Linked DNA regions of Notamacropus eugenii. The protein of the gene in region 2 purifies or fractionates together with the protein of the main gene of each other region. This does not show direct contact. Links are inferred from orthologs where the notes say so. Each region holds a gene or a part of one and is shown on either strand. Other genes may lie near its edges. The genes, in order: DLGAP5, KPNB1 and NUP214.

The links.
Region 1: the proteins of KPNB1 (region 2) and DLGAP5 purify together in Homo sapiens (affinity purification with mass spectrometry; 4 studies listed by BioGRID and IntAct, with this or other methods). This does not show direct contact. The link is inferred for Notamacropus eugenii from reciprocal best matches to the Homo sapiens genes KPNB1 and DLGAP5.
Region 3: the proteins of KPNB1 (region 2) and NUP214 purify together in Homo sapiens (affinity purification with mass spectrometry; 3 studies listed by BioGRID and IntAct, with this or other methods). This does not show direct contact. The link is inferred for Notamacropus eugenii from reciprocal best matches to the Homo sapiens genes KPNB1 and NUP214.

Annotation. Positions count from the first base shown.
Region 1 is NC_092872.1:344,301,257-344,309,023, reverse strand, and holds the start of DLGAP5 (disks large-associated protein 5), read right to left. Parts: upstream 2,945-7,767; 5' UTR 2,561-2,944; intron 2,460-2,560; coding exon of another isoform or gene 2,363-2,459; intron 2,315-2,362; coding exon of another isoform or gene 2,221-2,314; intron 1-2,220. Other genes in the region: uncharacterized protein, read left to right, coding at 2,221-2,314, 2,363-2,459, 2,945-3,374. UniProt on the Homo sapiens protein: Potential cell cycle regulator that may play a role in carcinogenesis of cancer cells. Mitotic phosphoprotein regulated by the ubiquitin-proteasome pathway.
Region 2 is NC_092873.1:353,612,367-353,619,384, forward strand, and holds the start of KPNB1 (importin subunit beta-1), read right to left. Parts: upstream 3,021-7,018; 5' UTR 2,879-3,020; coding exon 2,839-2,878; intron 2,671-2,838; coding exon 2,612-2,670; intron 94-2,611; coding exon 1-93.
Region 3 is NC_092872.1:482,961,388-482,969,010, reverse strand, and holds the start of NUP214 (nuclear pore complex protein Nup214), read right to left. Parts: upstream 3,051-7,623; 5' UTR 2,977-3,050; coding exon 2,872-2,976; intron 606-2,871; coding exon 410-605; intron 1-409. UniProt on the Homo sapiens protein: Part of the nuclear pore complex. Has a critical role in nucleocytoplasmic transport.

The DNA.
Region 1 (7,767 bases), on a different chromosome or scaffold from region 2:
AGACTCTGGAGGACTAATACTACCCACATACTAACAAGTCCTAATAGAGAGGTAATGGAATTAAGGTACAGAATGAGTAATACATTTGTCTCAGCAAATGGGAGTGATTACTTCCTCAGCTGTGGTTACTCATTAGAAGGACGGTAGGGTTTTTTGGGGAGGGAAGAGTTTTAAAATCAATGAATAAATAAAATTATTTTTGAGAGGGAAAAGAAATCCAGGTTAGATTTATACAAGGAATATAGGGTTAGTTCAATATTAGAAAATTATAAATATAACAAACATTATTAACAAAAACAATAAATATGTTCTTATATCAATAAATGACAAAAAGCTTTTTAATAAAATGACAATTTGTCATTTTAAACATATTAAGAAGCATAGGAATGAAGCATTCCTCAATATGGTAAATAGCATCTATTTAAAACCAAGCACTAGTTTTATCTGTATTGGAGCTGAAGATGAGAATATGCAAATTAATACACTGCTAGTGGAGCTGTGAAGTGATCCAATCTTTTGGAACTATGCCCCAAAACTCACTAATCTATGCACACCTACTGATTCTCAGATACAACTACTTGGCTTATACTCAAACCCTTATTTATAAAAATATTTGTAGCACCACTTTTTGTTGTAGGCAAGAACTGACATCAGAGTGGGTGTCCATCAACTGAAAAATTACTGAGCAAGTTTTTTATAAATGTTATCACAGTTAATACATGAGAAAAGGATTCAGAGAAACTGCAGAGTGAACTACCTACACAAAAACAACAATGTAAAGAGAAATCATGAAAGACTTAGGAATGATAATCAATGAACCCAATGACTCCAACAGACTGATGTGGATCTATACTTGGCACATAAGTTGATGGACTAGAGATGCAGAATGAGACACAAAAAGTGGCTGGATTTGAAAAACGTTTTGAATGACTCTATTTATACCACAAGGGAAGGTTTTCTTCCATTTTAAGGGAGAGGGGTTTGGCAAGAAAGCAACAATAAGTGATTCCAAAAAAAAGGAGCAAAAGAAAGAAAATGTCGTTTGTGAACTTTTTTCTAAACCGAGAAAATGAAATTCATGCTGTACACCTTTGGGATGGCTGTTGCTCCCCTTCCCTTCTTTCTTTTCTCCTCTAAAGCCTTGGACACGATACAGTGAAACCCATGGACTAAACATGGAAGGGTCCCTGCCCAACCTCCACTCAATGGCTGGTTTTGGACCCTCAGGGCTTAGAGGGAATGTCAATAGTAACAGTTTCTCTTCCAAACAACAACGCTGAGGCTCCTGCCCCTCCTAGCATGATTTATCTATTTATTTTCTCTTTTCTATGAAAGGGGCTATCCCCCCTAGACCTTTGAAAGAGGCCAGTTTACTGAATGGGTATTACCTCACTTTAAGTGAGTACCTGAGAAGATCTTAGCCAAGGGGCCAAGGTCTCCCAGGCCATCTCCGGTCATCCTGATGAATATCTGGTCACTGGATTCAGATGGGTCCAAGCAGAAAGTGAGGTTGGTGACCTTCCACAGCCCTCCCTCACTCAAAACAAAAACAAGTGCAAGTTATGTCCTCATTTCTTTAATGTCATAGCTTCTCAGAAAAACAAAGGACAAACACAACAATAAAGGCTGTTGTTCCATGGGTCAAACTCTTCATGATCCTTCTGACTCGTTTTCTTGGCAAGGACACAGGAGTGGCTTGTCATTTCCTTCTCCAGTGTCCCCATTTTACAGAATGAGGAACTGCGGCCAAGTTAAGTGACTTGCCCAGGTCACACAGCCACATCTGAACTTAGGAAGATGCTCTACCCACTGTGCCACCCAGCTGTGTCAGCCCTGGACCAACACCATTAGAATTACAGTATGTTAACCTGGTAGAGGGCAGTTAGCCCGTTCTGAAATCAGGAAGGCACGAGTTCAAATACTCTCAGACACTAGCAGTGTGACCCTGGGCAAGTCACTTAACCCTGTTTGCATCTGTAAAATGGGCTGGAGAAGGAAACAGAAAACCATTCCAGTATCTCTGCCAAGAAAACTCCAAATGGAGAAGTTGGACATGACTGAAATGAGTAAACAACAAAAATCTGATGGGGTCTAGACCTAGACCTCCCACATAAGGAAACACCCTCTACCAGTGGTGATCGCCACCACCTCCGCACTATGGCTTTACACTTGTTTAGAACACCGGAGGTGGAGTGACTGGTCCAGGGTCACCCGGCCAGCATGTGGCCTTATGTCAGGAGGCTTGCAGACAGGCCGAGGCAGCTCTTGGTGCACCGGAAGGGAAGGCGCCACACGGACTCTGCCCACTATCCAGGTACTAAAGAGTAATTGACTCAGTTTGTCTTTTCTCCACTACCACCAGCACCGGGCGAAGGACCCCCTCAGAGCCAGAGCCCAGCGACACCAAGGCGGAGCCGCGACTCCCCAGCGGCCCAAACTGCCCTTCTCCAGAGGCGGAGGCACGGCGGGATCCTCCCCCGCCCCCACACTATCACACACATACACCCCCTTTTCTCCTCCCCTCCCCCCACCCCCACCCAACCCCTCCAGACGGACCTACCTGCGAAACACACTTTCCTAGCAAAAAAGGTTCTGGGGAAACTATCAAAAGAAAAGGATAAAAACACCGCTCTTCCCCCAAAAACCGGAAACGCCCAGTTTTCAAAATGAAGTCAGATCGTCCACCTCCGGGACGCTTAAATTTCCCGCCTCCAGCTTATGATTGGTGGAGCTCTATAGGGCGCTTCCTGATTGGTCAGTTCAGGGAGCTTCTTGGATTGGTCTAAGGCCGGAAACGAATGCTGGGAGAGGCCGAAGAGGATGACGCTTGTAACTACTTCCGACTGGGCTGTATCGGCGGGCTGAGTAGCTGGTTGGGGCTCGATAGATTTCCGCCATCGTTTCCACTGCTTGTATAACTGTTTTGTTATTGTTGAGCGCATAGGGGAAAGGCCCCGGCCCTTGGGGAATGCTGGCTGCCCACCGACCTGTCACCTTTTCCCCTCCCCCAGCCTCCCTCGGAGAGCGGAGGCCTAGTGGGCGGGGCGAGAGGGAGGCTTCCGCTCTTCCGGTTGGTTCCGGGCGGGAGAGGATTCACGGTCCGCTCATCCCCTTCGCGGGATGCAGCGCGGTTGGCTTCCGTCTCGTTGTTCGTTGGATTAAACCGGCGGGATCCGTCCTCCGCCCGGATCCTGGAGCAAGTCTGTGGGATGGGCCGGGCTGCCGGAGGAGGCTTCCCATGCGCGCTGCTTAGAGTTCTCTCCCCCGAAGAGAAGGAGGAGGAGGAAGAGGAGGCCGGAAGGACTCAGCCAGCGGGCCTGTCTGTAACCCGAGCGGTCCCGCAGTACCGGCCTGCCCGCCTCGCACACTTGTGAGCATCGCATGACGGAACGTGGAAAGCGCTTTGCGGCTCTGGAAGCGCTCTCGAAACGCTCACTGTAATTTGATCTTACACGTGGTTTGCAGATGCTTGCTATCCTTAAATAGAATATTAATATTAACGGTTCATAAGTGCATGTTGATTAAGAACAATTTTTTGTTGTCAGCAGTTTGAACCTATGAAATATCAACTTAGAAAAAGTGCTCCAAGTCACCCATAATAATTATATAATATACAAATATATATTATGCATATAAATTAAAACAACTTTGAGGTTTTATCCTCAGGCCTATCAAATGAACTAGGGTGATTGGGATAGAGACAGGACCCATAATTTAATTGGTATAGGAAACTACCCGTGCAGGTTAGTAGCTTTTCTGAGGATCTCCATTGGTAGAGGGAGTTTCCTTATCTGGTGTCCTTATAAGGTATCCTTGTACCTTTGGAATCACATACCTATAGTCTCCGACAAAGATCTTCTCTATACATGCTTATCTAAGCCAACTGCTTTTCCCATCTTTGTTTTAGCCAGTGCCATTTCTTTCTCCTATAGAAACATACCTGCGTCTTGCCTAAAGCTCCATGCAGACTAGCCCTGAAACTTTATACAGACTGGGCCAGTATCTCTACACGTAGTACACTCAGCTGGATCTGTGAGTATTCCCAACAGTGACATAGATTCCGATTCATCCATGCTTGCCTGTCTTCTGGACTTTTGCCTTTGTCCTTCTGTAAGTTCATCACAGGATCCACTCAAGATGCTAGAACCTGGATGTTAACAAAGATACCGGTGGAACTTCTAGGTATGCTCACTCTTTGACTAGCCCATCTTTTTTGATGGTACCTTTTTTTGATTATATCCTTTATTCCATTTCTCCTACAGAATTCCATGTTTGGTATGAGTTGCAGCCTCATTGCTTCTCTATTGTCCTTTGGATAATCCTTAGTTTCAGTTTTTTGGGGACTGTGGTGTACAATAACTCATAGCTATACAACACCAGCAGAAGAATATTGATATTAAAAAGGAGGGTCTCTGTTTCAAGGAGGAATTAGAAGTCCTTAAAGAAACTGGCAGTTTTTCAAAGGCAACCCAGACTTCTTTTCCTTCTTTTCCTAGGTATTTGCCATACCTGCACATTACATATACGTGTGGTATAAATATATGAATGTATATGTGCCTGTGTGTCCATAGGGGTGTGTGTGTGTGTGTGTTTTAAATGTGCACAATAGTGGGATCTGATTAATTTTTCTTTTTTTGTTGTTCCTTAATGTTTCATTTTTTTTACATTCTTTTAAAATATTTTTGCCCAATTACATGTACAAATAATTTTAACATTCTTTTTTCAAATTTTGAGTTCCAAATTCTCGCCCTTCCTCCCCTTCTCTTTGAGAAAGTAAGCAATTGATGTAGTTTATACATGTATAGTTGTGCAAAACATTTCCATTTGAGTCATGCTTTGAAAGAAAAACACAGACAAAAAAAGAAAAAGCCAAACCCAAGTAAAATAAAGTGAAGAAAAAGTATCTTTCATTTACATTCAGGCTCTACCAGTTCTTTCTCTGGAGATGCACAGCACCTTTCATTATAAGTTTTTCAGAATTGTCTTTCATTATTGTATTACTGAGAATAGCCAAGCTATTCCCAATATGTCGTCATACAATATTGTTATTACTTTGCACAATGTTCTTCTGGTTCTTCTCATTTCGCTTTGCATCCATTCATGTGAGTCTTTCTAGGTTCTTCTGAAAGCATCCTGCTCATCCTTTCTTAAAGCACATAGCATCCCATCACAATCATTTGCTACAACTTGTTCAGACATTACCCAATTGATGTACATCCCCTCAATTTCCAATTCTTTGCCACCATAAAAGAGCTGTTATAAATATTTTTGTACAGATAAGTCCTTCTCCTTTTATTTTGTCTCTTTAGGATACAGACCTAGTAGTGGTATTGCTCAGTCAAGGTGTTTGTATAGTTTTATAACCCTTTGGGCATAGTTTCAAATTGCTCTCCAGAATGACTGAATAACTATATAACTTCACTAACAGTACATTAATATTTTAATTTTCCCCACATTCCCTACAATGTCATTTTCCTTTTCTGTTATATAAGCCAATCTGATAGGCACATGGTGTTAGCTCAGAGTTGTTTTAATTTGTATTTTTCTTATCAATAGTGATTTAGAATATTTTCTCATATGACTATACATATCTTTAATCACTGTCTTAAAACTGCCCATTTATATCTTTTGACCATTCATCAGCTGAGGAATAGTTCTTATTTCTGCAAATTTGACTCTGCTTTCTATATTTAAGAAATTAAGTCTTTATCAGAGAAATTCACTCTAAAAGATTTTTTTTCACAGCGATGACTAAACTCTGTATTTCACTCCATCCTATTTCCCCTATTTACTCTACTCTCTCTCTCCTTTTACCTTGTGCATTCTCAAAAGTGTTTTGCTTCTGACTTTTATTTCCCTGAAACTGCCCTGCCTTCTATCAGCACCACCACCCCATTCTCTTATCCCCATCACCTCCTACTTTCTTGTATAGCAAGACAGATTTTTACAGCCAAGTGAATGTGTGTTATTCCCTCTTTGGGTCAATTTCAGTGAGAGTAAGGTTCATATATTACCCCTCCTGCCATATCCCATTTTCCCTTCCATTGTAAAATCTCTTTCAGGCCTCTTTTATGTAAGATAATTTACCCCATTCTATCTTTCCCTTTCCCCTTCTCCCAGTACATTCTTTTTTCTCACCCCTCAATTTTATTTTATTTTTTTTAGATAATCATACCACCACATTCAACTCATACCTGTGCTTTGAATATGTATACTTCTAACTGCCATAATAATGAGAAAACTTTCAGGAGTTACAAGTATTATTTTCCTGTGTAGGAATGTAAACAGTTTAACCTTATTGAATCCCTTAAGATTTCCCTTTCCTGTTTACCATTTTATGCTTGCCTTGAATCTTGTATCTGAAAGCTAAAATTTATTCAGCTCTGGTCTTTTCATTAAGAATGCTTGAAAGTCCTCCATTTCATTGAATATCATTTTTTTCCTCTGAAGGATTATACTCAGTTTTGTTAGGTATATGATTCTCGGTTGTAATTCTAGCTCCTTTGCCCTGTGGAATATCATATTCCAAGCCCTCTGACCTTTTAAGGTAGAAGCTGCTAAATCTTGTGTTATACTGATTGTGGCTCAACGATACCTGAATTGTTTATTTCTGGCTGCTTATAACATTTTTTCATTGGCTTGGGAACTTTGGAATTTGGCTATAATATTCCTGGAAATTTTCCTTTTGGGATCTCTTTCAGGAGATGATCAAGGAATTCTTTCAATTTCTATTTTACCCCCTAGTTCTAAAATATCAGGATAGTTTTCCTTAATAATTTCTTAAAAGATAAGGTTCTAGGCTATCATGTTTGCAGGTAGTCCAATAGTTCTTAAATTATCTCTTCTGGATCCATTTTCTAGGTCATTTTTCCAATGAGATATTTAACATTTTCTTCTATTTCTTCATTCTTTTGATTTTGTTTGATTGTTTTGCAGTGCCTCAAAGTCATTAGCTTCCACTTGCCCAATTCTAATTTTTAAGGAACTATTTTCTTCAGTGAGCTTTTGTACTTCCTTTTCCATTTAGATAATTTTATTTCTTAAGGAATTCTTTTCTTCAGTGGATTTTTGTACCTCTTTTTTCTATTTGACCAATTTTGCTTTTCAAGGCATTCTTCTTCTCATTGGTTTTTTGTGCCTCTTCTAGTATATTTCCTGTCTGTTTTTTAAGGTGTCATTTTCTTCAGTATTTTTTGTTGACTTTTTTCATTATTTTCTTGTATCACTCTCATTTATCTTCTCAATTTTTCCTCTACCTTTCTTACTTGATTTTTAAAATCCTTTTTAAGTTCTCCCAATTCATCGTTTTATTTAAGGCTTTGTATATAGGAGTTATGGTTTTGTTGTCTTCTCCTGAGCTTTTGTTTTGATCTTCTTTTCACCTTAGTAACTTTCTATAGCAGAATATTTTGTGCTGTTTGCTCATTTTCCAGGAATTTCTTGACCCATGCTAAAGTGGGGCTCTACTTCTGGAGTGGAGGAGTTACCATCCCAGGTTTTTTGTACAGATGTTTTCAGAGACACTTCTAGGTTCCTATAAGTTTTTAGTTCTTTCAAGGTGGCATGATCTAAGAAGAGGTCTGTGAGAGATCACAAGCACTCTTTTACATCCTGGAACTATGAACAGGGTCTCCACTCCACTACAGTCACAAGTTCTAGTGCTCTTCCTCACCATCAACAGTCAGCCAGATCCAAGTATAGGCAATGCAAAAGTTCTGCCTCTGATGTCAGCTAAGTAGTAAATCTCCTTCTGACCAGTTGTCCAAT
Region 2 (7,018 bases):
AGAGTTCTTGATCTGTAGCCCAGCTGCAACTCTGGCAACCTGGCTATTTCCTGGATTTGCCAGCACTCTGGACAGTTCCACAAGGAAAGTGGGCTGGTTAGGAGAAGAAAAATATTTGTAAATGGTAACAGCCTCAGGGAATTTCCCAGATTAAGGTTAGCTTGGTTAGCAACTCATGGGGGAAAAAGCAAAAGGTCTTTATAAAAATTTTAAAATATCAACTTCAAAACTCCACTTAATTGTTTTGCTCATACACCAATAACATGCTTTAAACTGCACTAAGACTTTTGGGATACTCTATATTCACCATCCTTCTCCCCAACTCCTATACTCAGATAAATAAAAGTAGGATAGTTTTTCATTCTGACTGATGTCATTTATACGTTGTCTTTATGTCCACAGCTAACCTGTTCAAACTCAAAGCTAGTTTGTTGATCTACCTGTCAGTCAATAGGTTTCTTCTATGGACAGATGCAGGAAAGGAATAAGTTGACAATTACCTTCTAGGAATGTTCATCCAAAATGGACTAGATTCTTGACTCAGTAAATCTTAGAACTCCGCAGGTCTTGGAAATTCTTTATCATGCCCATTATATACAAGAGATCAGATAAGCAAAGTGATTTGCCCATGGTCACAAGGCTATTTTAGAAGAGTCAGGATTCTCTCCTAAGCCTTCCCTCCAAAGTCAGCTTTATTTTTGCAGGAAGGAAAAGACAAGAGGTAGGAGCAACTAGTAGAAGAAAAAAATTTAGGCTCGATATAAGTTTCTTAACAATGTAAAATTCTACAAATGAAGAATGGGCTGCCTTGGGAAGTTCCCACTCATTAAAGGTCTTCAAGCAAAGGCTAGATGACCATTTGTCAAGTACATTAATAAAAGAGACTAACTAGCCACTGAGGTTCCTCCTAATTCTGAAATTCTGTAATTACTTATATGTAAACTCAAAGTAAAATAATGCTTCAGGAACCTTCTTTGTACCCTATTCAAAGACACTATAAAGGGAAAATAAGCCAGAAGCATTAAATGGCAATAAAATGAAAATTGGGAAGAATAAGTGCAAGGTAAAAGATATGAAGGTTGGCAACAAGGACCAAACTTTTAGAACTAAGGATTCAATTTCAAAAATAGAAGTGAGAAACTGTAAGGCAAGACTTCAACAAACTACTGTCATTTACTAATTTATATTTATCAGTTGCTCCTGACTTTCTAACCATACTGAAGCTGAGCACTCTACTGAAGCTAGAAATCTGCAAGAAGCTCCATCAAGCCCCAACTACTTATAAATGCAGATATATTTAACAAACAGAATATAGCCTCCCCCAAAGTCTCTCAACCCTACTCCCAAAGTTCATAAGCTAAGCCACAAATGGGCAGAGCCAGTCTATGAAATTTGAGACATGCAAGAATTAATCTTCTCAACAGGCAACACATTATTAAGTAACAAGTCAAACAGATTTCTTACAATTCTTCACAAAAATAAAACAAATGATTCATTTATATCAGTAAAAGGTCTTGCCTGCAAAACGTGAAGGGCACACACAGGCCAGTTAAGAAATAAAATAACCTAATTATAGCTAAAATTGTAGTGTCAACCAATACTGACCTTTAAAAGCACAAGACTAAATCACTTAAAAACAGTCTAAAAAAACCATCCATAATTTTTTTCTTTTGGCATGAGGTTCACCTTACGTCTAGTTTAAGTGACAGAAAAAAACATTTTTAGAATATTTTATGGTTCTTCAACCATTTAAAAGAGGACATTATGCCGCAGACATCTCAATCTCAGTTTTATAAGAAAAACACCAAAAGGGGAACATGACTGGCATATGGGCTGTTTCATTCAATCCACCCTAAATTTTTATCCAGAGAAACAGCTCCCCATCAAATAGGGAACTGCATAATTTTTTCATATTCTTAAAATCTGGAAAGTAAGAATAGCAAAATACTTCCTCTGAAACTGCAACAGGAAATAGGCCTCATCTCCTCATTTCTGGGCCACACTGCCTAGTCTAAGACCAACTCCCTGACCGATTAAAACTCTATCCCCATCCAGTTCCATGATGGCAGCAGAAGACCCACACTCAAGGAGGGGGTAAAATATGGGCATTAAGTGAAAGGAGATTTGGGGGCTACCAGGCCAGACTATGGAGGCAGAGTCTGGAAAAGACCAGCTCAATGAAGTGGACTGAGAATGAGAAAGGCCACGGAAAAGGAGAAGCAGGCCCTTAGGCGGGGCGATTGGCCGGGCTCCTAGGGCTTCCACATGGTCCCTAGGCCCCGGCGCCCCAACCCCCACCCTTACTGAACACGCAGCGCCGCGCAACCTAACTTCCCCTCCCTCCCGCTGCACCGCCGCCCTCAGGCCGGGCGGTGATTGGGCAGCCCTCGCCCGGCGCGCCTCGCTATTGGCCGGCTGCCGGGGCCTGGGGCGGGACACACCCACCGGCTTCCCGATGGCGGGGTTAGGTTGGTCCGAGAAGGGGGGGAAGGGAGGGAGAAGGGGGAGGGGGGGCGAGATGGGGCGGGGTGGGTTCCCTAGGCCTGGGCCCCGGGGAGGGCGGGAAGGCCCCAGCCTGGGGGGATGGGAGGGGGCCAGGCGCAAAACGCACCAGGTTCTCTACAGCTGCCCGCTCCAGGAACTTCTGCGCCGCTTCCAGTTCAATCCGATCTGTGGAGAAGGAAAAGGAAGGGGGTCAGGGGAACCGCGAAGAGGGGGAAGAGGGGGCTTCCCCTCCCCCGGTCAGATCACCTCGGTCCCATCCCCCCGCCCCATCTCTCGGCCTCGGCCCTGGCCCTGGCCCCGGCCCCAGCCCCAGCCCCAACCCCGGTCTCGTACCGGGCGAGACGGTCTTTTCGAGGATGGTGATCAGCTCCATGGCGGCGACGGGGGCTCGGGCTCCTCCTCGGGCGGCTCCGGCTTCTCAGACTCCCGCGGTTGCGGCGATGGCTGTGATGGGGGACGGGGGGTTGGGGGGCCGGGTGGGAAGGGAGGGTTGGGGTGGGGGGGCGGGGGTCACCACAAGCCCATTCACCGGCTCCCTCCTACTGGTCGCTCCGGCTTCCCTGCCCGCGTTCCTGCCTGGCTGCCTCTTCTCCACCTCCCCTTCCTTTTCCTCCTGTGCTGCTGTATCGAGGGCTTTGGCTCCTCCGGCTGTGGCAGTGGCGGCGGCGGCGGGGGAGGGACCCCGGGGGCAAGTCGGAGCGCGGCTGGTGCTGGGGCGGCGGAGGGAGAAAGAAGGAAAAGAGGGTGGGAGGGAGTCAGTGAGTGAACGGCGGCTCGCAGGCGGGGAGAGAGAGCGAGAGAAGAGGCGGAGGGATATCCGGGCCGGAACTCGTCGCGGCGGCACCGCGCTCCAGTCCGATTGGCCCCCACCGAGGCCACGCGGACTTCCCGATTGGCCCGCCAGCTGGGGCCGGAGGGCCGCCGCGTGCCTATTCGCCCGCTGCCTGCGAAGCTCCGGTTGGATGGGCTGGCGGCCGGGAAGGACGCGCGGATTGGCGTGGGGGGGCGGGAGAGAGGTTGCCCGGAGCCGCCCGCCGATTGGCCCCGCCTCATGAGGGTGCTGTGCTTGCATTGGCTGGGGGTGGGGAAGGGAGGGGGTAATAGAAGGGAAAGCCCCGGAGGGTTCTGATTGGACGCGGTGCTGGGAATCGATTGGATGAACTGAGGCCGGGCACTCAAGAGAACTGAGTAGAGGAGTTCGGGGTCGCTTCGGTCTGAAAGGCGGGATGCTCTGAGCGGCCGAAGGCCGCGGGGCACCATGGGATACCTCAGGAAAGAGGCGGGCCGGCATCTTAGCGCCCAAGTCGGCGTTCAGGACGCCCCCGCCCAGACCCTGAGCTGGGCTTGATGAGGTCGGTCTAGGCCCCGGGCGCGGGCGCGGTGCTGGGCTTCTTTCCTAACTGATTTCGGCGCGGGCTTTATGCCCGACTGTGCTGAGGCCCAGTGGGTGGCCCGGGGTTGGGGCCGGGGCCGTACCTGGAGTGTCAGGGCACGTGTGGTGCCCTGACGAGGTAAGTTCGCTGCAGACGTCCGCTGAAGTGGAAATTCATGTAGGTGTTTACTTGAACGCCCCTGGCTATCAGCCTCGTTATAAACGTGCTAATTCTGGCAGATCTGGGTTCAAATCCTAATTCTTAAATTTGCGAGCTGTGTAATCCAGAGCTGCTCTCTTAGCTCTGCATGTTTGAGGCACAGCCCTGGGACTTATCAGTACGTGAAGGGAGTGGCCTTACTGCAGAAGAAATCACAGATTCTTCCAGTATTGGGGTGTGTTTAAAATCAAAGCATTTAAAATACCTAAAATTACTTGCTCCTGGAGCAAGAATTGACCGTATTAAATATTCATTAAGCATTTAATAAGTGCTGACACTGTTTTAGGACCTGAGAGTTGAAAAACAAGGATGGTTCGGCCCCAATCTCCAGGGGAGGAAGGGAAAAAATATACACAAAATAATGAGCATATATAAAGTATTTAGGGAGTGGACCACAGACATGTAGAGGAATAAGAAAAGGTAGCTTAAATTAAGCTGAACTACACATTGCAAAAGGTTGTGAGGTGGTAGAACACTTGAGGCTTTAACATAAGGGAAGGAGAAGAATATGTACACAAAATATAATGTGTATACATAAAGTATTTGGGGAATGGGCCATAAATAAGGGAATAAGGAAAGTTAGCTTAAATTAAGCTGAAGCAGGAAGTGATTCCAAGAGGTCATGAGAAAATAGAACATGTGAGGCTTCAATTTCCATCCTGTACGTAAGTCCCCAGAGGAAGCTAGAAACGTGTCAGACAGTGCTTCTGAATCTTCGGACTTCCTCTGGCATGTTAGATCTACTTGTTAGAACACACTTGATTTGGAAACTGTAAAACCCAGATAGACCAATTCGAATCCTGGCTCTGTTCTGGCCCTCCGTTTAATCAAACCACAGTCAAGAGTTGGGAGGGTCTAGAGGTCAAACCACAACTAGTCCATAGAGCCCTCAGAGCTGTCCACTGTACAAGTCACAGTTCTTTCATTTTGTTTTTGCTTTATTTAAATTGGAGACACTAATATTTGCTTACTAAAGTTGAACTAATCTCCTTGAAGCCCACAAGTGATGAGGAGTTCATCCTATCTTTTAACTATTCTAATTGTTAAGATCCTCTCTGAAACAAAGGAGTCGGAGTAGGTAGTCTCTTAAAATATCTTCTGGGTCTAAATCCTACGGCCTTCCTCATTCAATAGTTAGGGGGAAAGTAGTTACATAAGTGAGTTAACATCATTTGTGTTATTTGAGCTTCACAACCACTGGACCCCATTCAATCAGACTTTATAAAAAGTCTTTGCCATGTGCTAGGTATGGGGAGAGATACAAAGTTCAGGTGAGACAATGTTGCTAAGCATATATGGGAGTGGTAGGGAGGGCAAGACACACAAAAATGACTGGTAGACATAATGTATAAGTGGACAAGACATTTTCGTTTGTGACCAGGGAGGGATCTCTCAGGGGAGAGGGACACTGTTGGGCAGTTCCACAGTGTAAAAAAAGAAAAAACATCTATGAATATCTTTACAAAACTTTAAAGTGGGTACATGAGAATACCAGCCAAGAACTAAGCAAGTTTCAAGGGCAAAATGTTTAATACCAAGTAGAGGAATCAAGAAAGACTTAAGAGGTGGAATATGAACTAGGCTTTAAAGGAGGTCTAGGAGTTTAGCCCCCTAGGGTTCTGCGAGGTAGGTAGAGAACACATCTAGTCACAAGAAGCAGAAAGGATTTGGAGGTGGCAAAGTATAGGATGTGTGGGGTCATCAAGGAGTCTAATTTGAGGGGAGGGCAGAATATGTGGAAGGAAAGAGTCTGAGATAAGGCTGGCACTAGATTGTGGAGGGTCTTAAAAGACAAAGGAATTTGATCTTTATCCAGTAGGCAATTGGAGTCATGAAATGATTTGGTTCGATGCAACAGATATTTTATTAAGCACTTAACAATGTATCTAGCATCACTAGAAGAATGTTGTGAAAAGATGAATTAGGAAGGCAATATTGCACATTGGATAGAGAGCTGGCCTTGAGAGGCCAGAAGGCCTAGGTTCAAGCCCTACTTCTGACAACTGGCTGTCTCATTCTGGGAAGCACCCTTGGTCTTTCAGTGCTGCAGGCAGATCTCCAAGACTAAGTTACTGAGCAGACCTGTTCTGGTTGAGGGAGACCTGTGATTTTGCAGGTTTGAAAAAAATAAGTGTGCCAAATCAAAGCAACAAGATGGATTATATGAGGAGGCAGTAAAACTCTGATTAATTATAACTAATCTTAGCCCTGGACAACAGATATAGGGGATTAAAGGCAATGATTGTGATATAAAAAAATAAAAATAAACCTATAAAGACAAAAAAATGATAAGTGGTCATTTCAGGAAACACTTCTAGATTTTGAAAACATGGGATAATATTCCAAATGCAATCCAGTCTATTCATTTCTTCCTATTCAGTTGCCAGTTCATTGTCCATCCAGAGACATGTGCCTCTGCAAGAGATGCATACTGATGGACTAATTTAATGGGCTGCCCATCCAACTGAATGCCCATCTAGTGTGCCTAAACAATACACGTTTTTTCATCCATTTGGTTTTCCCCCATGTGGATTGTTCAATTTTTGAGGATCTCATTGAGGATACTTAGTAGTATTCTGGTATTTAAAGAAAATCAGCACTATGTCATCCTTGAACAGTAAGATCTTAAGTTCATCTATGGAGGAAATCACTCTTCCATGCGGATTGTGTGTGGGTAGCTTCCAGGGCAATTGTGAACATGTTTGGTGAGCCCCTGTACAAACACTGAAGCTAATGGGGGTCACACAAACTTAGACTTAGAAAGGACCCCCAAAGTCACTCTGTCTGCTCCCCTTATTTATAAATGAGGAAACTGAATCTCAGAAGAGTGACTTGCCCAAGATTACACAGCTAGTAATTGCTTCAGAATGGGGGAGGTCTGCCATAGTTTCATTTGTGTTTCATATCATGAGATTTATTGT
Region 3 (7,623 bases), on a different chromosome or scaffold from region 2:
CCATCTTCTCCTTAACAAGAGTACTGTTAAGCCAACTAAAATGTGATACAATAAACTCCTTCCACAATTAGGTCATAAGCCCAACAAAAAATAAAATAAGGTAGACTTTTCCCTACTTTGAGCTTGAAGGGATGACCAGATACCTCAAAAGGAAGACCCACATGGATTATCTCCAACACCTCAGGAATAGCTTTGGTACTTACCTGGGAACCTTTGGTCAACTTAGTAACACTCTTAAAATCACGACTTCAGTGACCATGTCAGAGATTTTCTTTGAGAAAAAGACTACTTCACTAGTATTTCACTACATTCCTCTCTTTTCTATCTTACATAGATCAATAACTTGCAAAAAGCTCTTCACACACACAGTAGGAGTTTAATAATAAAAGTTTGCTGGACTGTAACTAACCAATTCTATTGGGATCCTCCCCAGGCCGATTCTGAATAAGAAGATTTTTGGTAGGAAAAACCCGAAACCCAGTGGCTCCGGCAGCGAACACTAGACCATACTTATTAGACACAGTAAGCATACTGCAGCGATCTTTGGACAGCTCTTCAGGGGCTTCAAAGACTCGAACCTTCTTCAGCGCTCTAAACTGAAAATCCTGTCATAAAGAATAAAAACAGAGAGTAACTCAGTAGTTTAAATGATGATAAGAGGTATTGCTTACCTGGGTCAAAGAGAGTTACAAAGAAAATCTTGACTTAATACTCCCATTCCTTCCTTGACTCCTTCCCTGACAAATTCAGCTCACCCTAGTTTTCTCTTACTCACTCACTGTTATATACTTACATATAAAGTCTTACTCTCTAATTATACATAAGTATATATTCTACCTCTCCACTGAGAGCAATGTAAATTCCTTCTGAATAAGGACAGTCCCTTCCATTTCTCTCCCCATGGTATAGTGGAATGAATTGAAGACTTGACATAAAGAAAACTGAATGATTCCAGCTCTGACACTTAGTAGCTATGAAACTATTAGAAAGTTACTTTTCCTCTGAGCCTTAGTTTCTTCATTTTCAATAAAACTTGTGCTCCCTTATGGAGATGTTGTGAAGAAAATACTTTGTGACCCCAAAAGATTATAGAAATGTGACTTATTACTATAGTCCCACAAGACACAAAATCTATGTACATAACAAGTACTCAAAAATTACTGACCAACAAGAAAAAGATTACTTAATTCTATGTGACATTTCAAGAAATTTTCACAATGAAATTTCAGCACATCAAAATATCTTTTGCCCCATCTCTGTCTACCTTGAATTCTACTTATATATGTACATGTAAACTTCTTGCAGGCCAAGCCTATGTCATTCTGCATCTCCGTATTCTCAACATCTAGCTAAGGATCTTGAACAGAAAAGGTACTTCTGTGAGTGGTTTTATACAAGGGGAGAATGTTTTCTGCTTTGCAGACAGTGGAAGATGAACTTAATTAGAATCAGGAGGACATAGATTTAAAACCCCATCACTGACACTTAAAAGATATGTGACCACAGGCAAGTCACTTTCTGACTCAGTTTCTAAATCTGTCAAATGGGGATCATAATACCTATATGATCATACTTAAAGAACTGTAGCCTCTGAAATAGCATTTACAAACTCAAAAAGGATTATGAGAGTTCTCATGGGCATTTTCACTGGTCCAGTGTACTACTGTGATCCCTTCCAAAAAAGCCCAGACCCACAACAAAGTTTTCTGTAAGTACAATCTGGATTATTTTTGGGCCTCTAAGATCACAGTCACCCAACATCTGGATGACAGATGAACCAATGATGTAAACAGGCTCCTTAAGTAAATCTGTACGTTAGCCTTAAGGATCACTATCCATAGTATTCTTGAGTTGAGAGAGGGACCTTAGAGACTATCTAGTGTTTTTTACAGATGGGAAAACTGAGTCTCTAAGGGGGAAGTGACCCAAGGTTGTACAATGAGTCAAACATCTAGAAGTCAGTCAACTAATATTCATTAAGAGACTACTATGTGCTAGGCACTCTACTAAGCACTGGAGATACAAAGAGAAGCAAAAGATATTCTCAGCCCTCAAGAAGCATGCAACCTAATGGAAGCAGAATCCAGATCTCTTCACTCTCAATTCAGCATATTTCTCAACCCAACGTTGACCCAACTTTGTCCAAGAGATCAGAGTCAATATTGCTTCAATGGCTAAATCCATCAAGGACTACTGAGCCAGAAACCACAGAATGCAAAAGACCTTAGCAACAACCTAGTGCTATCCCCTAATTTTAAACATAATGAAAATAAAGCCCAGACAGAGGAAGGGAGTGTCCCAGAATCACACTATGATTTAGTAGTAAATCAATGAATTAGAACTCATGGTTTCTGATACCTAGTGTAGAAATACTTCCCATCACAACAATTCATACCAAATTAGTAGCAAATCAGTGACTAGGACTTTGGTTTTGTAATACTCAGTATGGTACACTTCCCTTCACAACAACCTGTCAATCTAACTGTCCCTGCAACATTCCCTTCAGATATATGTAGCCTAAGAGACAAATTCCAGGAACTACAGAATATCAGTACTGGAAAAAACTTCCAAAACAACTTAATCCAGTTTCCTCCATTTTACAGATGAAGAAACTGAGGCATCGAGAAGAGTAAGACTAGTCCATTATTCTTATTCACATAAGACAACTTGAGATTTGGAGCCCTTCCACAACAGCATCTAAGATAGATAGTGATGGTTTGTTCAACCAGGTTCATCTGAAGAAGACGGTGCCCTCCAGAGCCATTTCTGTGTTTTCCCAGGATGCTGGAATTCTTCCACAAATCATTTCCACCTTGTGTCCCTTTCTCTCCAAACATATGTAAAATGGGGCCAAAGAATAATTTCACTTACTTCCCTTTGATTTTCTACATATTTGGGAAGAGGAGGTTGTCTGGATTTATGCCCCGAATATATGCTAATCATCTTCTTGGCTTTCGGAAATCTAAGACGTCGCATTTTGAAGATCCTTTATATCTTTCTCATCTAGCTTTCTGTTCTGGGGAAACAGCTACGTAAGAAAGATGCAGATGCTGAGTTTTTCCCTGTGAGGTGGGAAAGCACTGGGCTGTAGACGTTGCAATGATCCATAAAAAAGGGCAGTGACCGGACCTGGAGTCAGAAAATGTAGGGCGCTACCACTTATGACGGTAAGCAAATGATTTAACTTGTGGGCCTCGGTTTCCTCATCTGTAAAGTGGGTGTGGGGTGCGGGCCGGACAAGATAATCTGTGCCGCGGGTCCCTTCTAGCTCTAAATCTACGGTCCCTTCAAGACGAGATGCAGGGGTAGGGAAAGGTATCGAACCTACGGGGAAACATCCTAGACTCTAACTGAAACCCAAATCTCTGGGTTCCCATTCTCTCGTGCCCAGTAAGCTCTAAACTACAGCACCCAGCGCCTCGAGAAATTCGAGACGGGAGGCTCTCTCTCCAAGGCAACGCTGGGCCTCAGTGACGTCCGGCCAGGCCTGGCGCGGCGTGGCCTGTCCCGGTGGTACCGGTCCTCCTGCCCCTCCCGGCCCAGGTCTCATTGAACCTGACCTTCATCTCCCGTTCGGGGATCAGCGCATCCATCTCGTCTCCCATGGCACAGACTCCCTACAAGCGGGAGCCCGAGGAGCCGCCGCCCCCGGAGAGCCGGAGCTACAGCGAGGAAAAATTCCCTCGCTGAGCTCAGCGACAGGCTCCGACGGCTGCCATTTCCGGCGCATCAAAACTACGTCACACCCGTGAGAAACAGTCTTCTAGGAGGGTGGGAAAGGGGTCGATCCAACTCGAGCCTGTCGTGAGCTGCTGCTTTCCATTGGCCCGTCTGGCGCGAGCGCGCTGTGAACTGCAGCCTCCCATTGGTCAGTCAGGCTCGCGCTTACTGTCAGCCGCCTCTTTCCATTGGTTTACCCTAGGAAGGGGGTGTGGCCTGAAGTCCATCAGTCGTGATTCGCTGTTGCCTAGCCTTTCTTCCTAACATGCAGTCATCTTCCAGTCTAGGATCTTAGGGAGTTTCTGGACCGCGGAAGTTAATTTCCAAAATTTTAACTTTTAATTTGACTGATGTGACTTCCCATGTATAATCGCTATCATATTGCTCGCCTTCTCAATGGGTGGGGGATGTCGGGAGGAAGGGAGAGAATTTCGAACTCAAATTTTTTTTAAAACGAATGTTAAAAATAGTTTACATGTAATTGGGAAACATTTAACAAAGTAAATCATTTATTTTTAAAAAATTCTTCACGGATGGGGAAATGTCTGTGTGTAGCATATAGCTCAGCGTAGCGGGGCTCTGTTTCACGTCCTTCCCGCCGCGTGGTCCGCAATGAATGGCATTCATTCATTCATTCATTCAACACCCCTGCGCGCGGGCTTGTCGCCGCACCCTCTGCCAGGTTTGTATCCTGGATTTTAGAGAAAGAAGTAAAATCCCTGCCTGCCTTCCAGCCTCTCCACCAGGACGCGGAGAACTGCCGGGAGGAAGACCGCGAAGAGTTTTTAAGACCAATAAGAAAAGGGAAAGTTTGGGGAATTCGGTCTAATTCAGACCGGGTCTTCTTGTGCAGAACTGAGGTGTGGGGGAATGGAATACCATGTTTTAAATAAGCTTCTCTGAGTTTAGGTCTAACAGCTGAAGATGACACAGAGGCAAATTAGGACAAATCAAACTTAAGGCTCAAGAGCTACAAAGCGTCCAGTTGTCGATGGCTTCAGTGAAGGCGCTATGAAGGAAGTGGAATCTGAACTGGACTTTAAAGACTTGGAATTGGAGATAACACCTGACGTTTCTATAGAGTTCAAATTTGCAAAATCCTTTATCTACACTATCAAAAAGTATAGGTCGTGTTCAGATACTTGTTGTTCTTCTCGTCATTTTTTCAGTTGTGTCCTAATTCTTTGTTACCCAATTTGAGGGTTTTCTTGACAAAGCTACTAGAGGTTTGCCATTTCCTTCACTAGCCCATTTTACGAATGAGGAAACTAAGGCAAACAGGGTTAAATGACTTGCCCAAGGTCACAAAGTTAACAAGTGTTTGAGTCTAGACTTGAATTCAGAAAAATAAGTCTTTTGGACTTGGCACTCTACCTACTTTACCAACTAGTTGCCTCATTTAGAGGTCATGTATTCTAACTTCTTGGTTTTCCAGAGGAATATACTCAGCTTGAAAAAGGTTGTCATTCCCAATATCACATGAGAACCCAGGTCTTTTAAATCCAGCACTTTTTCTACTGCACCAAATATATTGGGGCAAGTAGTCTCTTCTGACTGGACAGTAGAGTAGGTAAAAGAACTAAGGTATAAGTAGATATAAGAACTAAGACTGGAAAGATGCTGTTGCTAGCTTGTGGATGACATTGAATGTAAAGCTGAGTTTGAATTTAGGAACTAGCAACCTTTGCAAGGTTTTGAACAGTGGTGTGATATGAGCGTATCTTTGGATACGGAGGGTGTCTGGCAGTAAGGGATGGATTGGATATGGAAGAGGGATTAGGGAAGATTTGATTTGAGGTTTCCACAGAAGTGGGCAGGAAGAAAAGGGGAAAGGAAGCTCATCTAGGTAGGCAAAGGGTGTACAAAGTATAAAGTACAAGCAAGGTTGAAGGATAATGAATTGGCTAGTTTTGTCTTTGTGCAGATTGGAGTTACAGTAAACATGATGACATCTAGACTGTGGAGAACTTTGAATATCAGACAATTGTCTGGTAACTATATGACTATGGTCAAGTTAATTCATTTTCTTCGGCTTCGGTTTTCCCCCTGAGAAATGAAAGAGTTGGATTATTTAATCAAGAATTCTTAACCTATGATCTGTGGATACCCAAGGGATCAATGGATAGATGGGGAGAGGGGTATGGATTGTGAAGTTAAATGGGGAAAAAATACATATTTCCATTAACCTTTGGCTTCCTTTATGTAATACTTTATATTTTATTTTAGCACTTAAAAGTATTAATCTGAGAAAGGGTACATAGATTTCACCAGATTGCCAAAGGGATCTATGACACAAAAAAGGGTAAGAACTCCTGGACTAAATGCTTTTTAGCGGCCCCTCTAGTTCTAAAATTCTGTGACTACAATTTATTCTGTGGCAGTAAAAAAAATCCTTAAAGATTTTTGAGGAGAATGGCATCACCAAAGGAATATATTAGGAAGATTCATCTTAATATATTATGTAAAATTGGGGGGGGGTTGGAAACTAGAGGGGCACTATGGAGGGTATACAGTCTTGAAAAAGACAAACCTACTAGTCAGGAGACTATTACAATATTAAGAGCATGGTATCATTTGAGAGACCTTGGAAGGGTTTCCTGCATTCAGATATCCTGGAATCCCAAAATGTCATATTTACATGGAACCTCAAAGTACATTAGAGCATACCAGAACAAGAATTCCCTTTAGAGTGGTCCCCACTCAAAGATGTCCAGGGATGGATGCCTTTCAAGGCAGACCATTGCACTTTTGGATAGCTCTGTTAGAAAGTTTTTCCTTGTGGAACATAAGATCTAGTTCACTCCGACTTTCACTTGCTCCTGGTTTTGTCCTTGAGGCAGCCTGTCTCTTCTACCTTACACCCTCAATCAATCAATATTTATTAAACTTCTACTATGTGCCAGGCACTCTGCTAAGCACTGAGGACACAAGAAATAAAAGACAGTCCCTGCCCACAAGGAGCTTACCTTCTAATCAAGACAGCATGCAAACAAATATAGACAAAGCAAGCTATATACAGGATAAACAGGAAATAATTAATAGAAGACAAGCACATTTAAAAGGGAAGGCTTCCAGTAAAAGATGGGACTTTTAGTTGGGACTTAAAGGAAGCTAGGGAGAGGTCATTAGTTGGAGCAGAAGAAGAGCATTCCAGGCATGGGGAAGAGGCAGAAAAAATGCCCGGAACTGAAAAATGAAGGGTCTTATTTGTGAAACAGCTAGAAGACCAGTGTCGCTGGATCAAAGAGTACCTGTCTGGAAGTAAGGTGCAAGAAAACTGGAAAGGTAGGAGAGGGCTAGGTTACAAAGGACTCTGCCAAAGAGAACATTTTGTGTTTGTTCCTAGAGGTAATAGGAAGCCACTGGATTTTATTGAGCAGGGAAGTAACATTTATGGGGTGCTTGTGTATGGACCCCAATTCCAAGATCACATTTCTCCCTAGTCTCAAAACACTTTCCCAGACAGTTTTCTCTCCAGTCCAAGGACACTATGCCTAGAAATAACTCATGAGTGTGCTCCTGTGAGGTAAACTATCCCTCCCTGTTCCAAGAACAAGCTGACCTCTGTAGAATTTCCCTTCTGTGAACAGGACTACCTTGTGCCAGTAGAATTCTCATGTATTGATTCCCAGTTATCATATACAATCCAGAGGTCAAGCTATAGACATCATCTCTCAAAGTTATCTTGCTACGGACATAACAGACCAAAAATACACCCCTTAGAAACTCCTTTCTCTGGTTTCCAGGAGTGAAAGATGCTGGTGACTAAGGTTGTACGATATCACCTAATTAGTGTATCTACCAGATAATCCACCACTTTTCCTATCTAAGCTTTAGCATCATTCTTGTTAAATTGCAAAGTTCCTTAAGCAGCTCTATTTGCCACATTAGCATTACAATAAA